7 separate regions of the Mus musculus genome follow, and all the other regions are reported to be linked to region 3. Evidence: microRNA targets listed by miRTarBase, many of them from high-throughput screens and not tested one by one. Region 3 holds a microRNA gene; each other region holds the end of a gene's coding sequence.
Evidence for each region. The annotated mature microRNA mmu-miR-34b-5p reads AGGCAGUGUAAUUAGCUGAUUGU and lies in region 3 at 2,105-2,127, opposite strand. An mRNA with a match to its seed (bases 2 to 7 or 8) in the 3' UTR can be bound and repressed. Matches are read on the target gene's strand: a 7mer-m8 pairs with bases 2 to 8, a 7mer-A1 pairs with bases 2 to 7 and ends in A, and an 8mer does both.

Region 1: the mRNA of Nemp1 is a reported target of mmu-miR-34b-5p. Seed matches in the 3' UTR shown: 7mer-A1 at 2,385-2,391.
Region 2: miRTarBase lists Neurod1 as a target of mmu-miR-34b-5p. The part of its 3' UTR that is shown has no 7-base or 8-base seed match.
Region 4: the mRNA of Adipor2 is a reported target of mmu-miR-34b-5p. Seed matches in the 3' UTR shown: 7mer-m8 at 2,553-2,559 and 7mer-m8 at 1,829-1,835.
Region 5: miRTarBase lists Vcl as a target of mmu-miR-34b-5p. Seed matches in the 3' UTR shown: 8mer at 2,593-2,600.
Region 6: miRTarBase lists Ppp1r16b as a target of mmu-miR-34b-5p. Seed matches in the 3' UTR shown: 8mer at 1,226-1,233.
Region 7: miRTarBase lists Cyrib as a target of mmu-miR-34b-5p. The part of its 3' UTR that is shown has no 7-base or 8-base seed match.

The regions. Positions count from the first base shown.
Region 1 is chr10:127,695,615-127,699,681 of GRCm38, forward strand. It overlaps Nemp1 (nuclear envelope integral membrane protein 1), which reads left to right. Exons shown (of 9, transcript NM_001113211.1): 9 at 614-4,067. The coding sequence ends at 779. Among named protein-coding and RNA genes, the nearest start is that of Myo1a, 7.6 kb to the right of the region's middle.
Region 2 is chr2:79,450,227-79,454,293 of GRCm38, forward strand. It overlaps Neurod1 (neurogenic differentiation 1), which reads right to left. Exons shown (of 2, transcript NM_010894.3): 2 at 2,411-4,067. The coding sequence ends at 3,738. Among named protein-coding and RNA genes, the nearest start is that of Neurod1, 4.4 kb to the right of the region's middle.
Region 3 is chr9:51,101,506-51,105,572 of GRCm38, forward strand. It overlaps Mir34b (microRNA 34b), which reads right to left and starts at 2,140; the gene lies at 2,057-2,140. Hoatz (HOATZ cilia and flagella associated protein) reads right to left here and starts at 573. Exons shown (of 6, transcript NM_177702.4): 1 at 240-573. The coding sequence starts at 465. Mir34c (microRNA 34c) reads right to left here and starts at 1,605; the gene lies at 1,529-1,605. It also overlaps a transcript of Btg4 not described here.
Region 4 is chr6:119,352,076-119,356,142 of GRCm38, forward strand. Adipor2 (adiponectin receptor 2) reads right to left here. Exons shown (of 8, transcript NM_001355692.1): 8 at 1,075-3,853. The coding sequence ends at 3,725. Cacna2d4 (calcium channel, voltage-dependent, alpha 2/delta subunit 4) reads left to right here. Exons shown (of 38, transcript NM_001033382.3): 38 at 1-332. Among named protein-coding and RNA genes, the nearest start is that of Lrtm2, 23 kb to the left of the region's middle.
Region 5 is chr14:21,031,029-21,035,085 of GRCm38, reverse strand. Vcl (vinculin) reads right to left here. Exons shown (of 21, transcript NM_009502.5): 21 at 1,410-3,499. The coding sequence ends at 3,353. Ap3m1 (adaptor-related protein complex 3, mu 1 subunit) reads left to right here. Exons shown (of 9, transcript NM_018829.4): 9 at 1-1,344. Among named protein-coding and RNA genes, the nearest start is that of Ap3m1, 19 kb to the left of the region's middle.
Region 6 is chr2:158,761,123-158,765,189 of GRCm38, forward strand. It overlaps Ppp1r16b (protein phosphatase 1, regulatory subunit 16B), which reads left to right. Exons shown (of 11, transcript NM_001159662.1): 11 at 232-4,067. The coding sequence ends at 741. Among named protein-coding and RNA genes, the nearest start is that of Fam83d, 4.9 kb to the right of the region's middle.
Region 7 is chr15:63,928,005-63,932,071 of GRCm38, forward strand. It overlaps Cyrib (CYFIP related Rac1 interactor B), which reads right to left. Exons shown (of 13, transcript NM_001360036.1): 13 at 1,090-3,675. The coding sequence ends at 3,612. Among named protein-coding and RNA genes, the nearest start is that of Gsdmc4, 18 kb to the left of the region's middle.

The sequences.
Region 1 (4,067 bases), not on the chromosome of region 3:
CAGTGTTGTATTTTGCCCTTTGATTATTGCTCACCTAGGAGCAGTAGTCAAGAGAAAGTAGTAATCTATTTCTTGTTTCCCCAGGCAGCTACCTCACTGTTGGGGTTATATCACTAACTTGTGAAGACTTCAGTACCGTATTTAAGTGTGGCCCTTGTGTGTTTGACGTTAATGTCTGAGTCCCCACCCCCACCCCCACCCCCCTTTGGTTGGGAGCAGTTGTACCAAAGAGTATGTGAAGTTTCAGTTTGGAATCATGATAGCATAAAGTTTATAGGGCCATAAGTGCAGAGAACTGTAATGCTCAGTCTCTTCTTATCAGGTCTATGGTGACTCAGGGAACCTTAGCACTTCGTAACTACCCAGGACAAGGACAGCGTAGTTAGTGCCAAGCAGGACGAGAGTGCCCAGCATGTTGGCCTGGGATCCCAGCCTTGCCTCGTGCCTAGTTCTTGCTTCAGTCTATGCATCTGCCGAAGCAAGGGCAGGACTTTGTTAAATTCGGTATAATTTGAACTACAGGCACACTGAGCCTTTTAGTCTGTTCTTATTTTGAAAGCCGTTCAGGAAGGACAGACGTGCGCTTCCTCACAAACATCCCTCTCTTTTGCAGATTTGCTGACTTTGTGGAAGGTTCTTTCCACCTCACGCCAAATGAAGTTTCTGTTCACGAACAGGAGTATGGATTAGGGAGCATCTTTACCCAGGATGAGGAGCTGTCCTCAGAAGAGGAGGGCTCAGAGTACCCCACTTTCACACAGAACAATTTCTTGACTTAAATAGCAGTCTGTTGTTTTCATATAGACTGGCATGGTACCTTGGTGTGGCCACATTGTAAGTGCTGTGTGATTCTCCCAGGCTTTTATAAGAGCCTGGAGCGGGTGCAGGAGTTCTGCTGGAATGAGGGGCTGAGTGGGTTACCCTCTGGCAGTACTTTTGGTGTGTACCTCAGGCTGGTCCTCTTCGAGGAAAGAGTGGCGGAGGCACTGAGGGCTGCGGCAGCTCGCTTCTGACATTTGAGCACTTGGCCCACTTTGCGGTTCCTGAAGTCATTGTTTGCCCACAACAGTCTAGCTCCTGTTTAAAAGTTTGCTGAGTTCTGGCAACTCTGTCACTGTGACAGACCCTTAAAAATGAGTATTAAGTGCAGTAATGCATTCAAATGGAGGCTGCATCTTTTAAAGAGAATCTATAAGTCTGAGCCATTTTTTACTTCTGTCTGCTCTATTTCACTGGATCCTTATAATAATCCTGAATGATTTAAATATTGAAGAAAAAATAGATTGTTACCTATCTTGTTTTTTAAACAAATATATTTTTTTAAGTGCAAGAAAGTCATGTTCTTTACCCAATAAGTGCTCCAGAGTACAAACCCTACTGACCCCAGATATTTATTACCTGTGAAACCCCTGGAGCTGCTGCTGTTGAGCCTTGAATGCTCACAGTCTGATTTTTAGTTTGCTTGCATTTAGGAGAACGTCTGCTGCCCTTCTGTAGGTTTGGTTTCCTAAGCTTTTTATTATATTTGATATTGGCTTTTTTTCTTGCCGTTTCTCACCATTGACTTTTCCCACTCAGGAATGGTGTGTCCCCTTTCCTGTAGAGTGTGCACAGTTGAGAATTTGTCTCATTTGCCGCTGCCTTCTTCCTAACACTGAGGTTCTTCCATATCTCCTACTGTGTACCTCAGACTTGAGAGTCCCTGAGCATCTGGTATTTCTGTTTTGACTTTTCCTTCTGGGTTGGGGCCTGCTGCTGTACCTCAGGTTGATCCTTTCACCTTCGCCTTTACACTGCTAGAATTTTAAGCCTGTGCTGGTATACCAAGCTTCTTTTTTTCTTCTGTTTTGGTTTTCGAGACACATTTTCTCTGCATAGCCCTTGCTGTCGTAGAACTTGCTCTAGAGAGCACATTGGCCTGGAACTCACAGAGATGCCTCTGCCTCTGCCTCTGCCTCTGCCTCTGCCTCTGCCTCTGCCAAAGTATGTTACCACTGGCTGGCATGTCAAATTTCTTGTTTCTTATATATAAATGTTCCCCTTACCTTGATTCCTACATTATGGCTAGGCAGAGAAGTCTTATTTACACCCTTCTCCCCCCTAGTCAGATCACATACCTTCTGAGTTACTATAGTCAGGAAACTGTTCCAGGGCTGGGCATATAGCTCAGTGGTAGAATGCTTACTGGTTCAGCATGCAAGGCCCTGATTGGGTCGCTATCGCCACAACAAAATCAACCTTATCTCCTTGTTCCTTGTCTTCTTTTTATGTACTCATTCTATTCATTCAGCCTTCCTAACCACCAGCATGCTCCCAGATCTTATCATTTATAAGCCCTAAACAACCATCTGTTAAGTTTCTTTCTATGCAATTTTAGTTTTGTAACTGCCACGCTTTTCCACGGCAGAGAACAGACCTTCAGGTGTACTGCCTGCCTCTGGTGCCCATTCAGCTGTTAGCATCAGCTACATCCCCTGAGTTTACTCTACTTACTTACAGTTCCATTTCTGTAGAGACGCTGCCTCTGCAGTGATGTTAGCTTCCGAATCCCTTGCCTTTGCAGATCTCTTAGAAGCTGGCAGGATCATTTACGAGGGACAGACTCTCAAGTTTCTGCCGTTTGCTTGGTTCTTTCATTGTGATCTTCACCACTGCACTGGAGGAAGTGTGTAATGTGTGTAATTCCTTCAGCCAGGGAGGTCGGTGCTCACTCAGGAATACAGCATCAGACTCATTGTCTTAGGATCATCGAGGAGGAAGGTGGTATTTTCAGGAAGCTCTTAGGGCTTCTTCAGACCCGCTTTTAACATGTAATTTTGGAAGACCCTGGGCTTTACTGCTAGCATCCAAAATGTCAGCTGAGACACCTCTCCAGGTGGCCAGTTAGTTATTTCAACCAATGTTCCCCATAGCCTTAAATTGTCCTAAAGTGACAACTACCTCACTTGGTAGAAGGTGACAGAAAAATGAGCAGTATCTGAGCTGTGGTTAGAGCTGCAGGGTATAAGAAACTTTGTAACGGAACCTTTTTGTCTTTGTGAATTATAAATACAGTAAAATTTGTCTCTTTTCAAAGAACTTGAAGATCCTGAAGAGGTGGGAATGCACCTCAGAGGCAGTAAGTGCTTGTCCTGGGGGTGCAGGCTGGCCACCCCCCAAACAAAGCCCACCACTAACAACAAAAGCCTTCAGAAATTTATACCTAGTATATTTTACTGTAAACTCAGTTATACAATTTTTGTAGGTCTTGGGAGACCCTCATGCCTGTTTCCCCAAATCACTCCTTACGGATGGTAGCTTGCTAAAGGGGAGGAGGCTCTTGACTTCTTATTTTAATGAGAATTCACTGTAAGTGACTTTGCTCTTCTGTGGGTTGACTCACTGTGAAAGACAGATTTCTTTTCAAGGCCATTTTTTTTAAAACTGTATTTGAATTTGGGGCGAGCAAAGCAAGCTCATTTTCTTACCCCTGCCTGGTAGTTGGAGAAGTGAATGCTGAGAGAGCTGCTTCAGACAGTGAAGGACAGACGGTGCCTCTTTTGTATGCTGTGTATCCTTGGCCTGCCTGCCTGCCTGCCTGCCTGGGTGGCTCCGCTGGATGCTTCTGAGCCTCTGCGTGCCCAGACACTGCTTGAGTCAGCTCAGTCTCATCCCTCAGAATGAGCTCATCAAGGACCGAGGGAGAAGTGGAGTGAGCTGGACACTGGAGCCATGAGCGCTGTGTGCCAGCAATCATCGATCCAGAAGCTGGTTCCAGGAGTGGGGGTCTTGATGGTATTGGAAATGCATTGCTTCTAATGGGTCTGACCTGAGTTCATAAAACATGACTCCCGTTAATGGGAACATAAGAGGCAGCCGGCATACAACTTTACAGTTTTCCTTTCCTTATGAGAACATACTGATCAAAGCCAGGAAAAGTTTAGCAACTTTGATAACTTGGTTACCTTGAAATGAGAAAGAGCCAGTTCCCCACCCACATTCTTGTTTTCTCAGCAGAGGGTGGTTTTGTCTGAGATGGCTCTTTGGGTCCCACTGTTCCATTTTACCATATGACCGCCCATTCAAGG
Region 2 (4,067 bases), not on the chromosome of region 3:
GATATAACATTGAAATTGATAAAAATAAAACTTAAATTTTATGGAGTAGTCCTATTCTATAAGAATTATACAGTAGTTAAAATATTTAACTAAAATTCCTCTCCTACTATGAAATAATCTGCCAGCTTCTTCTAGAAATAAGTTTTCCAGGTGTTTTAATATTACAAAGCTGTATTTTCTAGGATAGGAACATCAATTGCTCACGAAGAACAAGAATATAGAACCCAAATATTATATCAAGCACCACATAGGCAAACCACATGAAATATTTTTCTTGGTCCAAAGCTATCAGCTCACCCCCCCTCTTTTCTTGGTTTTCACAAAAAAAAAAAAACTGTTTTTTATTAGCTTCACATAAGGATTAAGCAAACATAAAGACTGTAAAAGTATCTTTAAAATGTGCTTAACAATTCATAAAAGAAATGAAGGAGATAATTTAAAAGATTTCTTATGGTTTGAAAATGCATTCCAAATATTCATTAAACATTTGAGTGAGTAAATGTGTAGAATATGTTTCTGACATTGGCGCTGGTTTGGTGGTATTTCTCTGATCAGATGGAAGTGCTATGCGTTATGCAGGGTGCATGCAGTTCATTCATGCATAAACAATATCATTTTCATAAATTAAAACCTTCCCTGCAGAAGGAACATCTGTGCCTGCCTTTGAATAAAAGATGGTGGCATGTGAGTTACTCCCTGACTGACTGAAAGAATCCCTACGCCTTTAGAGTGAAATTTTAAACACACACAAAATGAAAAAGAAAAAGAGTGAAGCAGAGCCTTCATCCTTCACGCCTACCTCTAATGAAACCCATAGTCTAGATTCTTTTGCTTCCCATTTTAAATGTTGTGATTCTAGAAACACCACCCTTGGTTCTTCTGTTGACTCTAGCAACAGTTTTTAGTTTGCATGGAGATGTCTAATTTTAATTACAGGTGAAACTGAGCTGCTTAATAGATCAGATCAGATCTGAATGTTCACTTTATGGTTTCCTGTGCTGGGAGGCTGAAGGATTCTGCTATCAGTATTGTGTCTCCTAAAGTCAATGGTGAGAAAAATCCAGGCTAGGAAGCAACAGCTTGATTCCAAAATAACTGCTCTGATTCACTTGGAAAGAGACAACTACATTTGGGGTAAAGTTGGGACCAGCTTTAATGTATTTCTGTGTGTGATAAAGGCTGGTAGAAAACATTATTTTAAATTACATTAATTTTTTTGAATGTTGAAATATCCCTTACTGCTACTGTCACAGCTTGATGGGGCCTCGTTGGCAACGTTATTACTATGGCTAATTGTTCCTGTCTATTAGATTACTCACGTTTTTCTGGAGCAGCTTACTAAATAAGGTCAGTTTTCTGGAACCCTTAAGCCACCAACGAGAAGGAGATTAAAGGAACATGCTTGCAAGGGAGGTAGGCATCCAATGTGGTATCCGAATCAGAGAAGGAACAATGACAGCAATCAGAATCACAGTAGAGACAATACAACTGCCAAAATGCTATTCCATAAAAATCAAGACTGTCAGTCATTTCTCATGGGAAGGGAAATGCCAAACTATTTATTAAGTAGACTTACCAGAAGTTAAGTTGGTGTGGTGTGGTGTGGTGTGGTGTGGTGTGGTGTGGTGTGGTGTGGTGTGGTGTGTGTGTGTGTGTGTGTGTGTGTGTGTGTGTTTATAAAATCAAAATATAAAATAGCAGGACTGTACAGAAAACTGTGGAGTAATATACACTCCTAAAATAGAACACAAATAGTATATACTTATGTACCAAAAGCTCACTAGCACTTTAGTGGAACAATTAGTGAAGACATCCCAAACACTTAATAGAACCATTATAAAATGCCTCATCTTTTGGGAGCCTTTCAATTAATTAAATAATTTTCCTACAATATCAGATATATAGTTTGGAGTGCAGGACTGTTTGAAAGAAAGCTATCTAGTTCAGGAAAGATACAGATAACAGAACAGTGAGAAAATATTCAATTTTGTTTATGCTTTAAATATGTATAAACAAATTAAACTAAGGTATTTGCTTATGTCTTGCTAGTTAATACTTAAGTAAATCCGCCTGAAAAATAAAAGAAACTTCTAACAATCATTTCAACAAACAGAGACAAACAAACAAACAAAGAGAGTAAAGGTGAAGACGTTTCACCTTTAGAAAACCAGAGTTTTTTGTCCAGCTTACTCTGTGCTCAATACTCCAAATAATAAAACAGAGGCGAGGTCTGTTTGTTATCTGAGAAGCCAGTGACCCTCTAAGCAAGATAACAGACTAAGCACAGGACAAGCTCAACTCTATATTTTATTCCTAATGTTTAACATTTAACTCAGCAAATACAGACGTTGATCCTCCTCGCTACAATTTTACTCTTTAAAATCCACTTTCGAAAGAAATGAAACAATTGTTTTGATTTTCCATACTATTTTTATTGCAACTGCATGGGAGTTTTCTAAATTGTGCATTACACCATAATACACAGGATTACAAACAAGATTACAGTACATGTCAATTCCAGTAGTACCAGCATCACATCTCAAACAGCACTTATTCTGGACTGCATTTTACATGCAACAGCTATTGTTCTAATTATGAATTCGATGGTTTGAATTTTATTTAAACTACTGTACTAACTGACTACACAGGTATAAAAACCCAACATTAACAACCTGAATAAATTTAGGCTCAGATTTATTACATGAATAGATGACAAACCACCATTTGTTTGACTATGTATAAAATCATGCATTTATATTTTCTGGAAACATCAATATCTTCAAACACTCCGTAAAATCATGGAATTCAAAGAAGTAAAAGACTAAAAAGAAAGAGTGCAAATTGTATGTGATAGTCAAGCAGCTTTTGATTTAAAGGAGTGTGTGTTGGCATTTATTTATAATATGTATTTACAAGCTTGTGCAAGTAATGAATTGATGTGTTTTGATAAGGAATGCATTTCGGTTTTCATCCTCTTGAGTGTTATGGGTCTGGTTTCTATTTTAGGGAGCGAGCAGGAAAAACTTTAAAGTGAGATGAATTGCTCAAATTGTGCAATTTGTTGGTTTTTTTTCTTTTCTTTTCTTTTTTACAATTAGAGAAGAAAGAAGTGCTAAGGCAACGCAATAACTTTCTAAGCACTTTTCTGCTGGTTTAAATTAGTTAAATTATTTTGTATAAATTAGATATAATTCTACTTTTCTGATATGTATAAAAATTGATGAAGCTGCATGGTTTTAAAATAGGAAATCCACGTTATAAAAAGTCATTAAAAATTCTGTACAAAATCACAACAAAATAATTCAGCATGGGAAAGGTCACAGGTAGTAAAATGCTGGTTGAAAAATATATATTTATATATATTTTAATTGGCCCATTACTAGTTTAAAAATTGCATAGATCCTAATTATTGCTTGTGATTTTTTTTATCCCGATCAGATAATTAATACGATCTGAATACAGCTACACGAAATTCGTGGTACACATTTTCTTTTTTACTTTACTGTATTATTATTTTTAAAATAGAAGAGCTATAGAAAACAATACATAAGGTGAACAGGAACTTTGATCCCCTGTTTCTTCCAAAGGCAGTAACGACAATAAATACATATATCACTTGAAGCTTTGAGTATTTGCACTTTGCAGCAATCTTAGCAAAAGGGCTGCCTTCTGTAAACAGGACAGTCACTGTACGCACAGTGGATTCGTTTCCCGGGAATAGTGAAACTGACGTGCCTCTAATCGTGAAAGATGGCATTAAGCTGGGCACTCATGACTCGCTCATGATGCGAATGGCTATCGAAAGACATAATGTTGTCTATGGGGATCTCGCAGCGAGGGGCAGCGGCACCGGAAGAGAAGATTGATCCGTGGCTTTGGGGCCCTGCCAGCGTCGCTGCAGGGTAGTGCATGGTAAAGGCATAATTTTTTTCAAACTCGGCGGATGGTTCGTGTTTGAAAGAGAAGTTGCCATTGATGCTGAGCGGCGGGCTGAGGGGTCCGTCAAAGGAAGGGCTGGTGCAGTCAGTTAGGGGGCTTTCAAAGAAGGGCTCCAGAGCTGCGCTGTA
Region 3 (4,067 bases):
TGAACTCAGGACCTCTGGAAAGCAGTCAGTGCTCTTAACTGCTGAGCCATTTCTCCAGCTCTAGAATGAATTTATATGTAACAATGAGATCCTTTACAGTGGAGAATTGCAGCAGTTTTAGAATTGTTTGTGTATTTGCATATACCTATTACTGCCTGTTTCTGCTTGTTTGTACTTCTCAATTGACTGACAATTAGACCAGGCAGTTTCCCCTTCCAGGAGGTAGCCTTGCTACTCACCTCTCAGAACGACTTTAGAGTTCCGCGCCACCGGTAGCCTCTGACTGCTGCCTCGGGTCAGCACGAGCTGAGATTCGGTAGTGGGGTACATGGACGCCCCGAGCCAAAACTGCTTAGCCAAATTGGCATCCTGCTCAGAGCAGCCGGTGAACACCAGTAATCCAGGGGAGCAGATTTCCTGGGATTCCTTCCTGCCGCTAGGACAGCCTCTGGGCCCCGTTTCCATGGTGACTCAGGACGCTTTCCTTAGCTCTGGCGTCCCGCCCCTACCGGAGAACCGTCCTGTTGGTAACTGCCACCACCGGAATGCCTGTGTTTCTTCTTCCGTAGATCTGGGGTTCCTCGAGGGCTTGTGGCCCATCAGCAGCTGGCTTCTGTCGAGGTCACAATTTTCGGGGCCAGTCAAGCCTTAAGAGTAAAAGCCTCAACTTTGTGATGTGTACAGTCCTGGACTGTCTCTTAGATCCTCAGCCAGCGTCTCCTCCTCCCCCAGATAGCCCAATAATGTGAGCTTTAAAGAGCGCCTTCCTCTTTTGGACAAGATTGCCAAGGCTTCGCACTCTTACCTCTGGGGAAATTCTCAGGTTTGCATTGATACATCTGCATAAAGCGCTAATCTAGAACTGGGCCGAGAAGTACCGGTGGATACAGCTTGTGTGATTTAAAACCTCTCAAATCTTTTATTACAGATATTAGGAAACCAGCTGGTTTTAAATCGTGTTCACTAATTATTCCCACGAAAAGTTGCCTAGAACGCAACTGTTAATACCTTAAAAAATATACCTGGTTAAGTGGGCTGAGTTCCCTTGCCCCATGGAAAATTATGAAAACATTTAACGTTCCCTTCCAGGTCACAATCATGTGTGAGACGTTTCCCTGGAGATTTTGTCTGTATAGCAACTAACCATTTAATGACTTTACGGGGTTGACAGGAGCTGAAATGGAGATCCTAAAGCCAGTTTTTGGAAAGGAAATGAACACGATTGCTGAGATTTTCGTGGCGCTTTATTTTTTAGAGTGTTATTAATATGTCAGGCAAAGTCCAAAGATTTATAATCACAAGTCAATATAATGACCAAATCAGCTAAGGGATAATTTCTATTTTTCCAATATATCTAAAAATCACAAAAAATGTACCCCACACAAATTGATACATTGTATACTTAGCAGCTAAGGGCTAGCGGTTCCCCCCCCCCCCCCAAACCACTAATAGTATGGTAAGAATATTTCCCTATGGCTCTGTCCTCACCAAAATGACGATTCACAGGAGGCTCAGTCGGAGGAATTTCAGTCTTTTTACCTGGCTGTGTGGTTAGTGATTGGTACTATTAGCAATCAGCTAACTACACTGCCTAGTAACTAGACTCAGAAAAAAGCATGCAGTCTTTAGCTGGTGCTCTCAGACTTTGGTGTGACCAGAGCAAATCGTCAGCCAAGCTGTGGTTGACTCTAGTCGCTGCCTTGGTGATAGCTTTCTCAGAAGTGGAAATCAGGCAGTGAATCACAGCAGCAGCAGGAACTGTTCTGGGGGGGGGGGGGGGGGGGCTCTTCCTGGCCTTTTTTTTTTTTTTTTTTTTTATGTTAAGGCCGGTGTATACCGATTCTCTTTACACATCACTGAACCGTTTTTGCTCTGGCTCTTACACACAGGTAGCCGAACGGTCCCTAAAGGAGGCCGCCGGTCTCCGAGGGTTACTTGCACTTAGACCTCGTGCTCCCGGCCCTTTGCTGACGCATCCTGGCTCCGGCCTCGGCTTTCTGCGGAGTCAGTGGGGCTGCAGCGCTGGCTTCTCCTCCCGCGGGCGGCGGGTGATGCTGTGCCTTGTTTTGATGGCAGTGGAGTTAGTGATTGTCAGCACCGCACTACAATCAGCTAATTACACTGCCTACAAACCGAGCACCGGGCGCCCGCCACTGCAGCTCCCGAGGGTCGGGCCCCTCGCCCCCTTTCGCCACGGTCGACAGGCGAGGGCGGCGGAGCGAGAGGTGCCTCAGGCTCCCGAGGCCCCTCCACACCCAGCAGGGCCGCGCGCGACCCCAGGTGAACCCCCAGGCGCTGAGGCCCCCTGTCCCCGCCGTCCCCCCCGAGACCCCCGACTCAGCCCGGACCCCAGGGCATCCGGCCCGAGTCCTTCTTCCCGCAAGCCGGGTCTGACCCGCCTCCAACAACTTCTTCACGGCTTCCAGACCCAAGTCTAGAGCCGGTTCTGTCCAGCCCGCGCGCCCCGCAGCTCCTACTGGCCGAGTGACCGTGGCTCAGCGACCAACCGCCCTTGGAACCCCGAGGCCGAGGGGGCGGGGCGAGTGGGGGAGGGGTGGCAGAAGCTACCAGAAGGGGCAATGGGAGGGCTCCTGCAGAGCCTCCTGGGAAGGGGCCGGGGAGATGGAGAGACAGATTCTTGAGAAGTTTATCTTCACAGTGTAGTTACTGCTACATCGAAGAAAGAAGCGCAGAGACCTACATCCATCTCTCCTTCCCAATATATTGCCCAAGAAGCCCCAGGCCTCCTCACTGTTCATATGCCCATTCTCAGAAACCGCTTCCCAGGCGTCTCATCTGGAGCCTTCCTGCCTGAGCAGGCCTGGGCACTCATACCTGCAGGATTGCCCTTGCCTGTACCCAAGTTCTTTCTTAGGACTACCTCTTACAGGGCCATACAGTGAAGTGTGGGCCACTCTTCTGGTCAAACATTGAACCAACACCCTTGTTGGTAGGTCAAAGTTGTGGCCCTTATAAGATCAAAGACACAGTTTTGATGATCTCCCCGTGAGCCTTGAGGATATCTAGTCTCACTTTGGGCTCCTGTTTTATTTAAATGTTACAAATCCAGCACCTAACAGGCGTTTGTCTTACTACCCATCAGACAGTCTAGGTGGTAACAAAATGTGAACACATTATTTATTACTCCAGACAGTATAAAGTTGCTAAACTGATAGATTTTCCTAATAGAAAAAAACAGGTATGGGTGGGGGTGGGAGGTGTGCCAACAAGAGCTGACAGACACCATCATGGAGGAGGTGAGAGTTCAGGTAGATCCTTGAAGCAAGGGTAGATTTGGACATTAAGGATGAGGTCTGTAGAAGCCCGAGAAGCCATATCTTCTGTCAGTTACATTCCCCTTGTTTTTGCTATTTTATATCTGATAACGGGGTGCGTGTTTGTGTATATTGGGAATAGGAGGCGCTGAGGGGACAGCATTTCTGCGCCATCTTCACTAATATTTCTTTCCTTTAGTCTTTCCTCTCCTTTCCTTTAATTAATTGAGCCCAGAGAGGATATACAGTATTCTCTGATTGCAAACTTTGTGGAATTCAGTAGGAAGTAGCCGTCCCAGACTGTGGTCTTCCTGTATGCTGTATGACACCCATTTGTATTGATCCAACAGTCTTGCAGTCTACAAAGGGACATTTCTTAGCTATACACTGATACCTGTAAGCCCAGCAAATGGTCTTGTAGATGCCACTAATTACATGAATATATGCCAATCATCAGGAACATTCAACACAAATTCCAAGTGGAAACCATTAAAACCCAAGAACTTCCCAAGAATAAACTTGTGTATATTTTAACATTATCTTTGAAAGTAAAAGACAATGTTTTTTTCCTTCAGAGTCATTGTTTTATGAAGGCTTAAGTGAAAGGAAAATGAAGTAGAAAATGCCAGATTATTATAAAATTAACTTATGAAAGACATTTGTAAATAACTATCTTGTATTCAGTCTTCTTGTATTTGAGAAAAGTATAATGTATCCTACAAAAGGTCATTTAAACGTTCAAATATAAATAAAAGTAGTAGAAATAGCCTCCATCCCATAAACACTATGAAG
Region 4 (4,067 bases), not on the chromosome of region 3:
CTCAATTCTGAGACTAGTGCCGCCAAAGGACATGTAGGAGGATGGCCAAGACATGACGTGGCAAGCTAAGCCCTCCTCAGTGAGTGATCATAACTCCACCAAGACACTGGAAGACTGCAGTCTGGATTAGGTGAAAGATCTGGCACCTTGACTTTAGAGGAATGAAGTTGGCACCCCCGAGATTAAATGAATGGAATGCAGCATTCTGGCATCTTTCCTTATCTGTGTTGCCTTCAACCACAAGAGCTGGAGCCCTGTCAGAAGCACCAGGAATGTGCCGCTGAGCTTATGTGCTAGAGTAGAACCACCTCAAATAAAAGGCTTCAACAGCATTTTGTGATGCTACGTCAAGTTTTGGTTCAGGGGACATAGTAGTGACCACATCCTAGGGTCAGAAAAGCAAGCAGAGAGGTTGAGAGGGGCTCAGATATAAAAGAGCAAGGGCTCGGCAGCTTCCGAAATACTCTTTATGGTGAACCATGCATCAGGAAGGCTGTAAAAGGTAACCTGACAGGTGAGAGCATATGGAACCAGGGAAGGTAATGAGTCATATCCTACGGCAAACAACAGGATGAAGCAGATGTGCACCTGCCTCGTAATTCTGAGTCTAGTGTGGCCATAGGGCAGGAGGCTGCAGCCTGTCTCCCTCAGTCGTTTCTGAGGGGCCCAGCCATGGAGCACTTAGATTGGGTGTGGGGAAGTATCAGATGGCTTGTGCCCAGTAAGGCTGTCCCTGGGCTACAGCAGCACCACCCTGAGGGTTTCAAGTGGCTTGCAAATGGAGCGGACAAAATACAGGGGCCCAGTGCATGTGGTCAGGTTCCACACAGCCCTGAGGCCTTGATGGTCACTTTAACCAGGTATAGAGAAAGCTCACCTTTTTTAGACAAGGTCTGTGTAAGCCCAGTCTAGCCTTAAACTCATGATCCTCCTGCATCAACCTCCTGAAGGCAGGAAGTTTCTAAAAATTCCCTAAACTTCCTGACTAAATTAGGATATTAAGGATATCCCAAAAGTGAGGTAAGTTTTTAAAGGGGGGGGGGGGACAACAATAAAAAAAAAACACAACAAAACTCATTTTCCATTTGGCTCTTTTTATTAGAGAAATCAAGAAGACAGCAAGTAGGGAAATCCCCATAGTGAATGGAACCATCACAGAGATGCCTTTCTGGAACCCCAACCTTCTATGATCCCCAAAAGTGTGCTTTGTGATTTCAGCAACTTATAGAGGGGAGAGAGGAAATACTGAAAAAGGCCACTATTTAATGATGAGAGAGTGAAGGTGTACAGGTTCCTAACCAGCCTAGGGCCAAAAAAGGAGACTGAAACGTGTGCGCAGAGCAAGCGAGCCTCAGACTGCTGAGAGTAAGGCATTCAGGTGCCAACCTGGAAAGTTCCCGGAGGCACCACAAGGTCAAGTGCACATGGAGGCTGTTGGTAGTGAGCTGCGCAGACATACAGGGCACACACATGCCCACACACACACACCGAAGGGAAGTTACTGGACTACAGTGGTGGTGGTGATTCGGTTCCCTAAGAGTTTGTGCTATGTTGAACCAGAGTCTCCCTGCTTTGGGAAGAGGGATGACCAGTCCCAAAGACCTCTACTCCTGTAGGTGTCATGAGGAAGCGTCTCAAACTCATGTCCCAAAGTGCACGACCAGAGAGTGCGTCTGGCTGCTGATATGTGCTGTTGCTACCACAAGCCTAGGTGAGCTTCCTTCCGGATGGACACTGTCTTGATGAACTGCTTCTTGAGGAATTAACACTGTTCTTAGTTGTCTGGCACAATGCTGTTCACCCAGAGCTTCCTGTTGGGCCTACCTAGGGCAGTGACCTTATCCACAACCCAATACTCTGAAGTTCTTCCCAGGTTTTCAATGGACTCCTTCCTGGGTCCCAGCTGCAGCTGGGTGGCGATCTGAAGGTAGAGGAAGGACAACGACGACCAAGAAAACACTACTGTAAAAACAGGACCTCCTCATACTGCCCAGCACCCCTTTTGGGATGCCCGAGGCCCATGTTACACTGCAATACCCACCAGCCCCAAGGAGTGAGGCCTAGAGTCTAAGAGACTCAAGTGCTTGGTTTCTCACTTAGGAGCCAAGACCCAACTCACTGCCACTCTCTAAAACCCATAACAAGAAGGCCCTAGGACAAAGAAATTATTTGTAACTTCTAGCAGCAATTCAAAATTGTGGGTTTAATTCTATCCGACTACCTGGTAATAACAGTCCACTTCCTTTTCAACTCTGTAGCACAGGTCTTGCAAATGGCATTCAGTGCGTGCTAACAACTCCACAGTAGGTATTACTGACTTTCTTGTTCAACGGGAGAAGAATCTGTTGTCATGCCAAGCCTGCCAAGCCTGCACCAGAGAAAAGCGCCACCATTCCTAGTCCAAGGGATGGTCCTCCACACCTGCCTGCATGACTTCAGGTGGGACCCATGCTCATCAGAATCTCACTAGTGGCCGGCTCCACGAAGGAGCTTTGATGCTGGGGGGGGGGGGGGGGGGGCAGTTTTTGATTTCCAGGAGGAAGGACAGTTAGGGCAGTGATTCTCAATAGAGCAAAATTTGCAGAATGGCTCAGAGCTCCACAGAGAGGGTCTGGAAAATGGCCATACCTCTATTCAGATAAGAACTACCACCTGGTCAAACGAGACACCAGGGAGAAGCAGACCATTCCTATGCTGATGCCCCCAGGTCCTCCTCCCCTTCATCAAGTCTCTACTACATCTACAGTAGAACCAGGTGGCTTCACTCTTCAAAAGGGTCATCACTAGCCTACATAACAGTCTCCCAAATGACACTTTCTCTAGAGCCACTATGACAACCTGTGCTGCTTCCATTGAAAAGCACACACGACTTCCACATCCCTCCCCCTCTGAATGCCCAAAGGCTCTCAGTCTTGAGAGTGGCCAGGAAGTTCCTGGGCTGGGGCTGTCCACTCTGCCCCAGCAGGGTCCAAGTGTTATCGGCCTAGGGAAGGCACCTTGGTGCACCAAGACATCGTGCATTCTGGGGCTACCACTCCATCCTCCTCCCATCACTTGTGCAAAATTGAAACAGTGTGTGGTACTTGCATGTTTCATTCTTTTTAAAAAAAGTCTCCCTCCCTCCCTGCCCCTATGTCTTAAATGTTTATATAAATTCTTATTTAAACAGTAAATTAGAAATCTTATTTACATTAATTTCTTTGTTCTCCCAAAGGAGTGCCTAAAACCGCACTCCCACCCCTTTATTGGATACAAATGTTCCCCTAACTTGGTTGTGATTACTGTTTAAGGAGCTCCAATGGCACGATCAGTTGGTGCATGGTACTCATACATGTTACTGCTGCAAGGAGCAAGGAAGGGAGAAGAAAGACCACCAACTAAACTGTTTCCCCATCTTCTACAAATAAATACGATCACATCAGAAGCCAGCCTGTCAGGCGAGGGTCTTGCAGAGTTGCTTTCAATCGGTAGATCCCAAGAGGAAGCCAGGGGATGAGCCATTTCTCCTTCTCTCCTAATCGATGCATTCCATCCTTTGAGGTATGATTTATTTTTGTTTTTCTCTTCTTAGTCTTGTACCCCATGGAGCCCTTGGGCCAACACAAGGCCCATGAGGCTGTCCAAGTTTTGGGGCTTCTCTGGCACTGGCACCGACAGCCAGTAAGAAGGCCTGCAGGACCTGCAGGCCTGGCTCAGGGTCAGAGTCCCTGGTTCCTGGAGAGTATCACAGTGCATCCTCTTCAGTGCAGCCCCCGCCAATCATGAAACGAAATTCCTGCAGGTTTGAGACTCCGTGGAAGTGAACAAAGGCACCAGCAACCACAAAGATGTGGAAGAGCTGATGAGAGTGAAACTGGAGAGAGAAAAGAAAGCCACTATCACTAAGCCTGCTAACGGTCAGGTCCCCAGGAAGTAACAATTCCAGGAAGTAAGGCACACTGCTTCCCAGCTTGCTCGGACAGTGGGAATGCATGGGATACAATTCAAATTCAAGGTGGGTCCCTCAAGTTCTCCTGAGTCAGAAGCTAGATCTCCCAAGAGAAATACAGGGACTGCCACTATTATAG
Region 5 (4,057 bases), not on the chromosome of region 3:
TCTAGTTCTAGTTTTAGTATCTTGTTCTTTTACCTCAAAAGCAAGCACATAAGTTTTAGTTCTTCACCATCCTTTATCTCACGACCATACCTAGACCGCACAGCTTCCTTCCTGTGCATCTTCTTGTCTAAGTTTCTTGTCTCCAGGGATTTCTGCTAAAGTAGCTAAGCAGACTGAATTCTTTTACTGTTAAATTGTTGTATTTATTAATTTGACAGACCCTAATAAGCCCTTTCTCTAGTTCTGGCTATCATGTCAATAAATATATGAGCAACCAAATGATTTTTAAAGTTTGATTGTTGATGGAATATTCTCATATTCAGGCTGTATTAATGCAGGCTGCACTGGATCAGTTTCTTCTGTATCATAAAATGTTACAGTTGCTTGAAGAACATTGAAGAGGCCTCTTCCTGAATAGAGCATATTTACAACCATTCATCTTCTGGTAACAGACCACGTGATAAAAATGATCAAAGCTATCTTCCTTACCACTTCAATATAGACCCAGGAAAACCCAGTATCAAAAGATTTTTTAAACAGAGTTCTGGGTAAGCCACCATATTCTCCTTTTTTCTGTTGTTCTTAAGAAATCATAATCTAAGAGTAAATAAAACAGATACTTATTGTCTGGGTGAGGTAGCCCCACCCCCACCCCCCAGTGGAATTCGGCTGGTAGCCTCATTTCCTAAAGGTGCTACAGAAGAACACTGGAAAGATGCTGGTAATGTTGTCCTTAAAAGCAACTGCTTAAAAATACAACTAACTGCAGAGTCTGCGGCACACAGTTCCGGTGAACAAGGTGAACAGCAAATAGAGGCTGCAGGGATTTCCAAGTCTATTCAGCAGCCGTGAACACAGGCTGCCATCCATTCTGTAAGTCAATGCAATGGAAAGTTTACCCTGTGGTATTATTTAACCTTTTCTTTTTCTTCTTCAGTTCTAGAAAATTAGGCAAAAAAGCATGTTTGTTTGTTTTTTTATTTTAGTCAGTGTTTCCTCAAACAAGAGGAGGACTATGTCCTCAAAGCTAGTTCTGCCTCACACCCATAGCTATGTACTGGGGTTGGGAACAAACAAAAGTGTCCCTCACATTTCACAACTTCAGCTTTTTAAGGGACACTGGTGGTCTCTACTAAAATTAGGGTGTCTCTAGCCAGGAGGTGACCTACATTTGGCTGCTTTGCCCACTGGTAACTTGTGATTTCTTCTCCTTCTAATGTATAAGAATACATTAGCTAGAATTGTTGCCAAGATTGTTCTTGATCACGCAGACCCTCTTACGTAACTACACTATTATATAACTCCTTTATGGATTGAATAAAGCTGTTGGTTTCCAGACCTTGAGAATTAGCTTCAATACAAAATAAGTCTGACCTAAAGTTGTTAGTAAAATAACCTCAATTAGAGCATTATTCATATAAATGTACTTTATTGTTTTAAACAGAACAAAAGAAGAGGCAGAAACATTTACATATAAGTCCTAGCTTATAAACATAGTTTTTAGTGGTGGCATCTCTAACACGTCATTCAGGGACTGTTTCCTTTTGCCTCCTTGTACTGTAAGCACTGACACTAGAAAGCACATCTGGTGGACATGTGTCTCCAGAACTGAAGGAACTTGGAGAATAAACATGATTCTTCTTAGTTCCTCTAAGAAATCTTTAGTAAGACAAAAAATGATCTTTGGCATAGATTCATACTTTAAAGGCATTGATATGCATTTATATCAGGTAAGCAACTATACAGATCTGCTGAGAGCTTTGAAAAGAATCTTTTATCAGCAAAAAGAAATAGGGGGAGCCTGAGTATTCAGGGTCAACTTAAGATTTACAAGTTCAGTGTTGGGATTGGACATACTAGATGTGGGAAGAACATCCAGGAAGAAGGCCTCACTCCTGTATTCGTCTGGTTCCTGATTTCTGAAAGAAGCATTTGTATACTGGGAAATGCTTATACAGCCAGGATAAATGCAAAAAAAAAGGAAAGTCACTTTTACACTAACTTTGCCCAATAGGAAACATGCCTTTCTGATAAATAGATACCATACTCATTATTCTTGAATACTTCGTATTTATGGAAGGATGAAAAATGCTTGGTTGTAGTTGATTAAAAGCAACTGGGAACTATAATAGTTCCTACTGATTTTTCCCTAGAAGCACCAGAAGTATAATCTGCAAATGCTAGTCTCCCAGACAAGATTGCCTTTCCATTCAAGTCTCTTAAGGAGCAAGCCCTAATTCTTAAGTCTCAATTTTGAATGAACCTTTCAAAGTTACAAGCAAAGTCAAGTGTGGTGGTAGGAGCTAACAGGCTGACACAGGTAGATCACTTGAATCCATAAGTTCAAGACTAGCCTGGACAACATAAAGAGACCCAGTCTCAAAATTTAAAAAAAAGAAAAAAGTGGGGGATGGAGGGATTACAGACAAACACATACCTATGTATCTTTAAAGTCTTGTTTAAAGAAGCATACAGAAGAAGACTGCCAAAGCCTAGGATGATTTGGTTAAAAGTAAATGCAGCACTTCAGCTCAGAAATTAAAGAAAATAAGGGCGAAGAATGAATGCCAAGGCCTCAGCACAGACATCTACTGGCAGTGACAAAGCATAGAAAATCTGGGAGTGGCCCCACTGGGAGGATGGGCAGGATAACACCCCAGTGACTCTGTTCCTCTAGTGACAGAGCACCAGTGTGTTTACAGGATGGTTACCTTGGCAACCAAACAAGGCAGGATGTGAGACAGGAAGTTTCCATAACACATACTAGTTAGTGGCATGGTAAAAACAGAAATAATGATTTCCTCACAACAGTGAAAGTTGGTTTCCCATTGTGAGGAACTAGGGTTACACTGGGAGAAAGCAGGAAATGAATCCAGGCCGCACAAGCTAGAACTCTCCAGAGACCACTTTTTCCTGCAGCAATGATGCACAGCCCAGAGAAGGTAGGCAGGGTCAGCAGCAGGGGGGGAAACCCAAAATAACTTTGGAAGCACAGTTATTTAGACTTGCCTCAGCTCTAGGTCTTGAGAGCCTATAGTGGGGAAAGGGAGTTGGTGAACCGTAAACACAGAAATGACCCCCGGGGCAGAGCAGGGCTTCCGGCTAGTGTTCACGCTTATTCTGAGCTGCTGTAAAATCCATGGGAGAGAGTGCGCATAGTAACTGAAAGTACAGGGTTTATAGAGAGACACATTTCAAAGTGCCCATGACAAGAGTATAAATGTTCCTTTCTGGTGTGTGAAGCCAGGGATTGATGTTTCCATTCCTGACAACTCTGAATGGCTTCTGGAACTCAAGATGGTTCTCTTCTCTTTAGCAGAGGTGTATGTACCAGCCAGATTTGACGAGGTGCCTACTGGTACCAGGGAGTCTTTCTGACCCAGCGCAGAGTAAAGCCAGCATCTGTTCGGATTTTGATTGAAGCAGCTTCAGCCTCTCGCACAGTCTCCTTCACAGACTGCATGAGGTTCTGGGCATTATGAACCAGCATCTCTGTGGCCTGCAATAGGAGAGCCCTGTTACTATAGCCCCTAACGCAGCACTCGCTGCCAGGAGTGGGCTGCAGTTAAGCCCTATACCCGATCCCCCTGCTCCACCAGTAGTTTAACTACATAAACAGCAATGTTTATACAATTTGGCTTGTATATCAATGACTGCACTGTGTCTTTGTATGGCTGACAGCATGCACTGGTTTTGAAAGGTGGTGTTCTTTTAGGACTCCTGCTATGTCCTCTACCTGTAACACTTTTCTTCCAAGTATGCCAGACTCCCCCTCCAGTGTCCAAGCATTCTTTACTTGAAGATATTTTTCTTCATAAAATCCATCATAAATTTATGCTATATATTATACCTAGATTGCTTGGGGGTGGGAGTTTTTTTCTTAGTTGGCATTTGCTTTTGGTGTTTGGGGGAGGGGGTAGTTTAGTTTAATTTATCTGTCTGTATTCTTTAAGCTCCATAGGGCAGAGATTTTTGTTAGTTTTTTCACTGCTCTCCACTATTTAGTACAGGATGCATTTCAAAAGCAATGAATGAAAATAATCAAGCTAATCGACCC
Region 6 (4,067 bases), not on the chromosome of region 3:
CAAGACGTTGGCAATAAAATATGCTCATTAGCCGAGCCTGGAGTCACACTTCAACCCTGGGAGTGGGATAGGCATTGGTCTGCCCTACCATACAGAGCCTGGTGCCCCAGAGCTACATAGGAGTAGAGAAACAGGTAGAGATTGGGTGTCCCTCAGCAGAGGTGCAGGTAGCTGGTGGGTACAGACCCTCTAGCTGAACGATGATACTGATGCTATCCTCTTGTCCCCCAGAACCCCAGGCTGGAGAAGCCCGTGCTGCTCTCAGAATTCTCTACCAAGATCTCACGGGGAGAACTGGATGGGCCTGTGGAGAATGGCCTCCGGGCTCCTGTCAGCACTTACCAGTATGCGCTGGCCAATGGGGACATATGGAAGATGCACGAGATGCCTGACTACAGCATGGCCTACGGCAACCCTGGCGTGGCTGATGTCCCCCCACCCTGGAGTGGCTTCAAGGAGCAGAGCCCCCAAACGCTCCTGGAGCTGAAGAGGCAGAGGGCCGCAGCCAAGCTGCTCAGTCACCCATTCTTAAGCACCCACCTGGGCAGCAGCGTGGCCAGGTCGGGGGAGAGCAGCAGCGAAGGCAAGGCCCCCTTGATTGGAGGCAGAACTTCCCCCTACAGCAGCAACGGGACCTCGGTGTATTATACAGTCACCAGCGGAGATCCCCCGCTCTTGAAGTTCAAGGCCCCCATGGAGGAGATGGAGGAGAAAGTTCACGGCTGCTGCCGGATCTCCTAGTGTCCTTGAACTGGAGGAGAGAGCTGCCTCGGAGAGGGGCCCCTGGAATCCAAAGCCGGTCCAACAGCTCTGGCTGGCGAGGTGTCGGGGCAGCCGGGGAGAGGTGGGATCTGCTTTCTAGAGGAATGCTGACCTTACCTCATGCCCAGCCGCCCATAGCATCTCCACTCCCTTCTGTGCTGCTTCCTTGCCTCACTCAATGCCTGCACCTGAAGTATAGCAGGCCGACTCACTCTGCAGTCTGATTCAGGAAGGGTGGGCCTGGGATCTCACTTCTGCACTTGGTAAAGGCTTCTTAGGACCAGGAATATCAACTCCCTACACACACACACACACACACACACACACACACACACACACACACACACACACATACTCAATTTAGTGTATAAGGATGTTACACCTGAGCTCTTGGGAAACAAATGAGGCTAAGAACTTGTGGGTTATCCCCAGAAAATGAATGAGTTCAAGACAGTCTTGGCACCACTGCCAACTGGCTTCCACTGGGGAGAGGCCTGCTCAGCGGAGACCCACAGCTCTGAAGTCATACCAGGCTGGGTCACTAGCACACCTAGCAAGAGACAGGAAGTCCTATGGGTTCAGGGAATCCGGGAATCCATACGGATCAGGTTAGTGGGCCCAGGCCTGCTCCCCACAGCCTTGCTGAGAGCTGTTCTCATACATATGTCAATAAGAAAGTGGAGAGTGTTCAAAGGTCAAACAGGAAAGCCAGGCCATCCATGCTTCTGTGGGAGCACAGGAGTCGGGTTGGGTGCAGCACATTGGTATTTTCCAAACTGTGTTTGGTAAAAGCGTTCTTTCAGGCTGTAAGATCCCAGGTGGGAGGTTCCTGAATTTGCCTTCTCCCAAGATAGTGTCACACTTGGGTTTTATTGTCTGGTATTTGAGAAATGAATTTCATCAGGAGCTTCCGTGGGGCTAGGGCTCCCAGGGAGAAGGTGAACGCATTGCTGAGAACACCATGGTTAACATTGACATAACAGCATCCTAGCCGGTCTTTGTGGTTTTCCTGCTGTTTTGGGCCAGCCCATCTCAGCCTGGCCTTCTCAGCCTGAGCCATCCCATCTTTCGGTTGAGGCTTGCACCCTGCCCTCCCACCTAACAGGATTGAGTCTGCAGAGTGAATGCTCAGGCCCACGCCCCTTCAAGCTTTGCCTTTTCTGTAATGTTGTGTAAGACATGTTTGCCAAGTGTCACTTGTCGGCTCTTGCCAGGAGGTCTCAAAGCTCCCAGCCTGCTGCTTCTGGAGTGGTCATGCCCAAAGCTGCAAACTGAGGTGCCCGCGGCCACCATCCTGTGCTGCATTCAGGAGAGCATGGCGTGGCTGGAGTTGGCTATCATCCCAGCTGTACAGCTTTGCTGCCCCTGTCTTCTTGATGCTGGGAAAGGAAGCCCACACCACATCACCACCATGCTATCCCACAAAACCGTTGAAATTGTGCCCCGTACCTTGAGTGCGACACACTGGCTCTGCCAAAACCTTCTGGTGTAACTGGCAAGCTACGAGTTGGTTCCTTGCTCCGTGCTCTTTTTATTTGTCCTCAAACTACCTCCTTAGAGCCCCAAGAGGGTCCCCACGTCATTCGGATGTATGGGACAGATACTTCTTTACAGCCCCCTATGCCATACCCTTAGTAGGTAGGCTTGCCACTTGTTGGTCTCTGTCTCCACTGTGGCCTCAGGGCCTCAGTAGACTAGAGATGAATCAGGACCTGACTAGATCTGCAAGATGCTTTATTAGAACCAGGAGTGTGGGCCAGAGAGCACCCTGAAGGCTGCTGGATGCAGAAGGAGGTGCACAACACTAGGTCATCTCCACCCCAACTCCAGGACAGATGGAATCCGGCATGGTGCAATAACATAAGAGACTAAAGACAGTTTCTGGGATCCCTGGGGGCTCAGCTAGGCTCTGTAGCCCATAGCTGAAAGAGGAGATGGTCAAAACACACACCTGTGGCTTTAAACATTTAGCTCTGACAGACACTGAAATGCCTCTGGAGATGATTTTAGCCACAAGGTGGGCAGTTGCCCAGGCAGCCAGCTACATACTCTTAGGAGTCAGCTGCCCAGGGTTTCTGAGCTCTGTGCTCAGGGGCCAGAGAATGAAGGCATTTATTGCCATCTCTGAGCCATTCAGGCCATCTCTTCACACCCAGCACTTCTTCCTGCCTCCTGGACCGTTCTTCTCTACCTGAGGGGTGGGAAACTCGGCTGCCTCCTGCATGGGAGCTAGTCCCAGACGGTGTGGACTCATGGGCTTTTGTTCATGTTTTCCACTAGGGATAAACAAATGTTCCCTGTTCAGGCTCCAAGTCCCCAGGGCACTTTGTGACTCTTTGGAATATTGAGAGTCACAATGAGGAACAGTCTCCAGCGCATGAGCCAGGGCCACCCACCCATTCACTCATGTGATCGATCTATTGAGGTGCTGAGACACACCCGATGCGCTGTTAGTTTCAGCAGATAATGGACTAACCTGGCAGTGAAGACTTTGATCTCTTGAGGACCGTGGGCATCCCCGGACTCATCTATTATTCTAATCAGAGTGCCTCCATGCCAGACCAGTGTCCCCCGTGCTTTGCCGCACCTGCAGTTCTTAAGAGTGTGAATCTCTTTATCTGGGAGACAGCTTTCTGACCACTCCTAGATAACATTTGCCACTAAGTGCAGAGGCTAGATCTCAGGTACCAGGCAGACATTATACAGGTCCATCTAGATAGAGCCTTCAGAGGTAGCCTTCAGGCCAGCATCCATGGAGAACAATACAACAGCAGTCTAAGGTCAGTGCCTGGAAGAACCAGAAGTCTGCAATTTGCTGTCAAATACATCCCTAGCATTTACAGTCCTCTCCTGCTTGTTTTTTGCTCATGAATCATACAGTCTTCTCCCCTACACCACCAATGGGTGTTGGGAGGGAGAACAACTACTTCTCTTCTTTTTTTTTTTTTTTTTTTTTTTTTTTTTTTAAAGATTTATTTATTTATTTATTATATGTAAGTACACTGTAGCTGTCTTCAGACACTCCAGAAGAGGGAGTCAGATCTCATTATGGGTGGTTGTAAGCCACCATGTGGTTGCTGGGATTTGAACTTCGAACCTTCGGAAGAGCAGTCGGGTGCTCTTACCCACTGAGCCATCTCACCAGCCCACTACTTCTCTTCAAATTAAACATTTCCATGTGTGTCAGCCTCTCTCCCTGGAAGATGTGGATCCAAGGGCTAGGAGAAGCCTGGCAAGGTTGACCAGATGGCTCACTCCTACTGAAGACATCTATTTCCAAACCAGGTGCCCTGCAGTTCCCTGTG
Region 7 (4,067 bases), not on the chromosome of region 3:
GCAAACTTGCCACACTTTGACTAGATGACCTCTTGTGGCCACTCCAAAGAAATACTGTTTCTTGTTTTGGGACAAGATATTTAACCAAAGTCACACCAAGTGCTGAATGCACTCAAGCTCATTGAATAAACCTTGTAATTTCACCATGTTACGACCTTGCTGACAGGACTTTTGAGACATCCTGGTGGCCTGGGGTCAATTATTCCTGTGCAGGGCTATCTTGGGTCTCAGGGTTCTGAACCCACAAGTCTTTCCACTGTCGTCTGTGATTACACACTCAGTTGAGGGGCTATTTAAGAATTTCTGGCATGCCAGTTACTGAAATCTCAAACAGAACCAGAAAGGCATTTCAAATCTAAGAAAGTACTTCAATTCAGAAACTTAAGATTTGAGCACACAGATGCCAATTATCTTCATCAGCCTAAAATACTTGCAGCCATCTTGGTGGCCCAAAATGCTAATCTAAATCTTTGTGAAGTGAGCAAATGGAAGTTGAAAGCACCATGCATCCATGACAGGGACTGAAGGAGAGGATGAAGATAATCACGAGTGTGCTTTGCTAGAAGATATGGTAGCTTACCCTGTTTTGAACCAGGAGCACATGGTCCAAAAGTAGGCTGGGATATATGCTGATAGAAACATCCTTTAAGAAAAGCAGAGGGGCAAAAGGAGGCAAGCTTTGTAGTATCTGCAAAGCAGGGTCAACTTCTGTACAGTGGACACGCAGACCCTTTGCTGAGGCTTGTGCTGTGCCCAGCCACAGAATCACTCACTCTAAAGGCAGTTTCTTAAGCAGAGAAAAAAAAATGATGACCATGCCCACATGCCTCTTGGATTCCATGAATGGAAACTAGCAGACCTGAGGCTGAGCTCACTGCCCAGCAGCAGCTCCTCCATCACTGCAGCAGTGTGCCCTATTACTCCAGGCTGTCAAACCAACGTCTTCTCTCAAGGAAAGGGACTGGCAAATTCTATACAGGGCCAGAACATACTTTAGCCTCTGATGGCCAAAAGATCTTTGTCACAATTTGATTCAATGCTGCTATAATGAGCAAATAGCCATAAATAATATATATATACAAATGAGGCTATGTTCAATAAAATTTTATTTATGAACACTGGAGTTTGAATTTCATATACTTTTCTCATGCTACAAAATATTTTTCAACTTTTAGAAAAACATTTGTTATCCTTTATTCTCCCGACATTTTAAAAATCATTCTTAATTCACAGGTTGTGTAGGTCCAGAGGGAGGTGAATTGGCCCACCGACTGGGCTACTGACCCCTAGGCTAGAGTTAAAGATTTTTTTGCCAACTTAATCTTCAACATGCAGAGTGTGAACCATGTTACCTGAAAGGCCACAGCAGGATTACTACATCTACTTCATTTATCAGTCCTCACTCACTCCATTCAATTACTCACTTGGCAGCTCTCCATATTTAGGTACTATGCAAGATCCTTGCTTGAGACACTGAAGGAATAAGACATGGCTCTTCTCAGGTTCTCAGTCTCTGCAGCATCTAGACATTGTAACTTCTCATGAGTATCAGAGAAGATATAAAAGTGTAGTGATGTATCAGGCTGTTTTGTGAGACAGTTGTATTCAATGCTTAAGTTGACTGTAACAAATTACCACAAACTAGGTGGCTTAGAATAGAAACTTATTTTTTTCATCATAATAGAAGTCTGAAATAAAAACAGCAACAGGGTCGCTTCCTTCTAGAAACTCTGATGGAAAGTGTTCCATGACCTTCTTCTGGCTTCTGTGGTCCAGGAAATTTCAAGATATGATGTTACCTTTGCCTCTATCCTCCCAGGACCTCCACTGCTTGTTTCCCCTTCTTTTCTCTTAAAAGGACTTGTCAGTAGGGCTAGGACCCACTCTCATCCAGGACGATGCCATACATACATAGGTCCTTACATTCACCTGAAAATGCCCTTCTTCAAAATGAGGCCATATGTACAGGTTCCAGACATTACCCTTTATGGAGTAAACTATTAAACCCATTATAACACTGTAGAAGCCTCCTGGAAGACATGGCCAATGTCATCTAAATGGTTTTTGGAGGAAGTAAAAGAAGCTGATTTTTGAAAGATGACAGCTGGTGTTGGTCAGACAAACATGAAGGAGAGAAGAAGGAAGACCAGGTTCAGGTTGTAGCCAGATCAGTTACGAAGCAACACCACACGGAACAATCTGTAAACAGCAAGTAGTTAAGCTTGGCTGGAGAGCAGGGTAGGAAGTGGAACACGAGTAAGCAGGAGGCCAGAGAGGTCAACAGGAACTTTACCATCAAGTGCCGTGTGCACCACAATCTGGCGCTCTGATGGAGAGGGTCCAGAGGGCAGCCTGTGATCATCTCCCATGGTTAAGCACTTTAACTGTGTCCCACCTCAGGTCACCTTGTCATTAAGTCCCTGACAAGGCTGAATTCGACAACTTTCAAGCAGCTTCTCTCAACTGAGACACATTTCTTTGCCTTGGGCTTTATGATTTTAAATTGTAACTCATGTCACTTCCTACGACCAGTGAGATCTCGGACTTTCATTTATTTCCTCTGGAAGTACTCTTATTGCTCACTCTCCTCCAATGTCAAGGGCTCCTCGTGCCTTCGAGACACCATGTGCTTCCTGTCACCGCCCTTTCATTCCTGAAACCGAGAGCTGAGAAAGTACGGGTTTCCTTCTATGACTACGCTCACAAAGATTAAATCAGAACAGAAGTCAAGTTAATGTCGACACAATCACTGGTCATCTTATACACAACAGTTTTAAAAGCAGTCTAACTTATGTACATAGACAAAAAGTAAAGCAAAACAACTGAAAAAGACATAGCTATTGCCTAAGAGAAAGAAAAATTATGTAATGTGTATATGCATTCCATAGAAATATATACAGGGAAAACTTCCAGAAACCTCAGTAAACCAAGCCACACTTAGAAAAAGGAAAGCTGATTTTTATTTTATCAACAGCCATTCTTAAACATGAACATGCATACGTAATATTCTACGCACACATCACAGTTTTTAACGTTAGTTAATAAATGTTAAACACACAACATACAACCTTAAAAAAAAAGTCAACCTGCAAACTTAAAACTTTAAACAAAGTCTTACTAATTTAAAAAAGGTTTTGTGTTGGGTACCATTTGTACAACACAGTTAATTTAAACATTTCCATTTTGGCTGCACATGAAAAAGCGGCAGTAGAAAATAAATTTATGAGGGTTTTAAATAGCAGAATAGGCAGTTTCGCCATGCAGGAGAAGCAATATTAAATATTAGTTTTCAAAAAAAATCCACATTTAAAAATATTTAGTTCAAGTCACAGAACTTTTCTCAGTAGAGACCTCAATGCAATGCGTAATTAGCTGCCTTAGATGGCCTGTTTTGAAAGGACAAAATCCCTTTCAAAGTATAACTTTACTGATTTTGGCACAGAAAAGAAGTCTTAAGAACAAGAACATGATTTAAAAAGTGGGAAGAGGAACAGAGGAAAGAAACCAAAGCAAGAATAAGGAGATTTGATGGCATTCACTAAGACTGTGCATTCTCGGTCACTGAAGAACACTGTGTGCTCCATCTGCAGTAGGGGCTTGCTCCACAGCTCTTACTGCAGCATGGACCTAATTTGCTTGGAGGTAGTCTCATCATTCAAATGTTTTGTTGTGTACCTATACAAAATAGAGAGAGAGAACAATGTTGGAAAATGAAAGTCTGTATGGGCTGTGTAATATGCCAAGATGAGTAGCTGATCACTCAATATCACAAATTCATGCCTTAGGGTGAGTTTTAATCCTGATCAGGCTCTCTCCCCCATCCAACAGGAGCAGCCAGTTTCTGGTCACTTGGTTATAGGGACCTCGTTGAAATGATTAGCCAAAAATCTGAAACAATTTCGCTATGTTTTACTCTATGCTGTATAAAAACAGTACCTTGAAATACTTACATTCTCTAAGTACCTTATTTCAGGGTAGGTACACTTTGAATAAGCGTATAAGTCCAAACTCAAAATGAATTCAACAAGATGAAATATTCAATTTTGAAATCAAATTGACTCTAAATA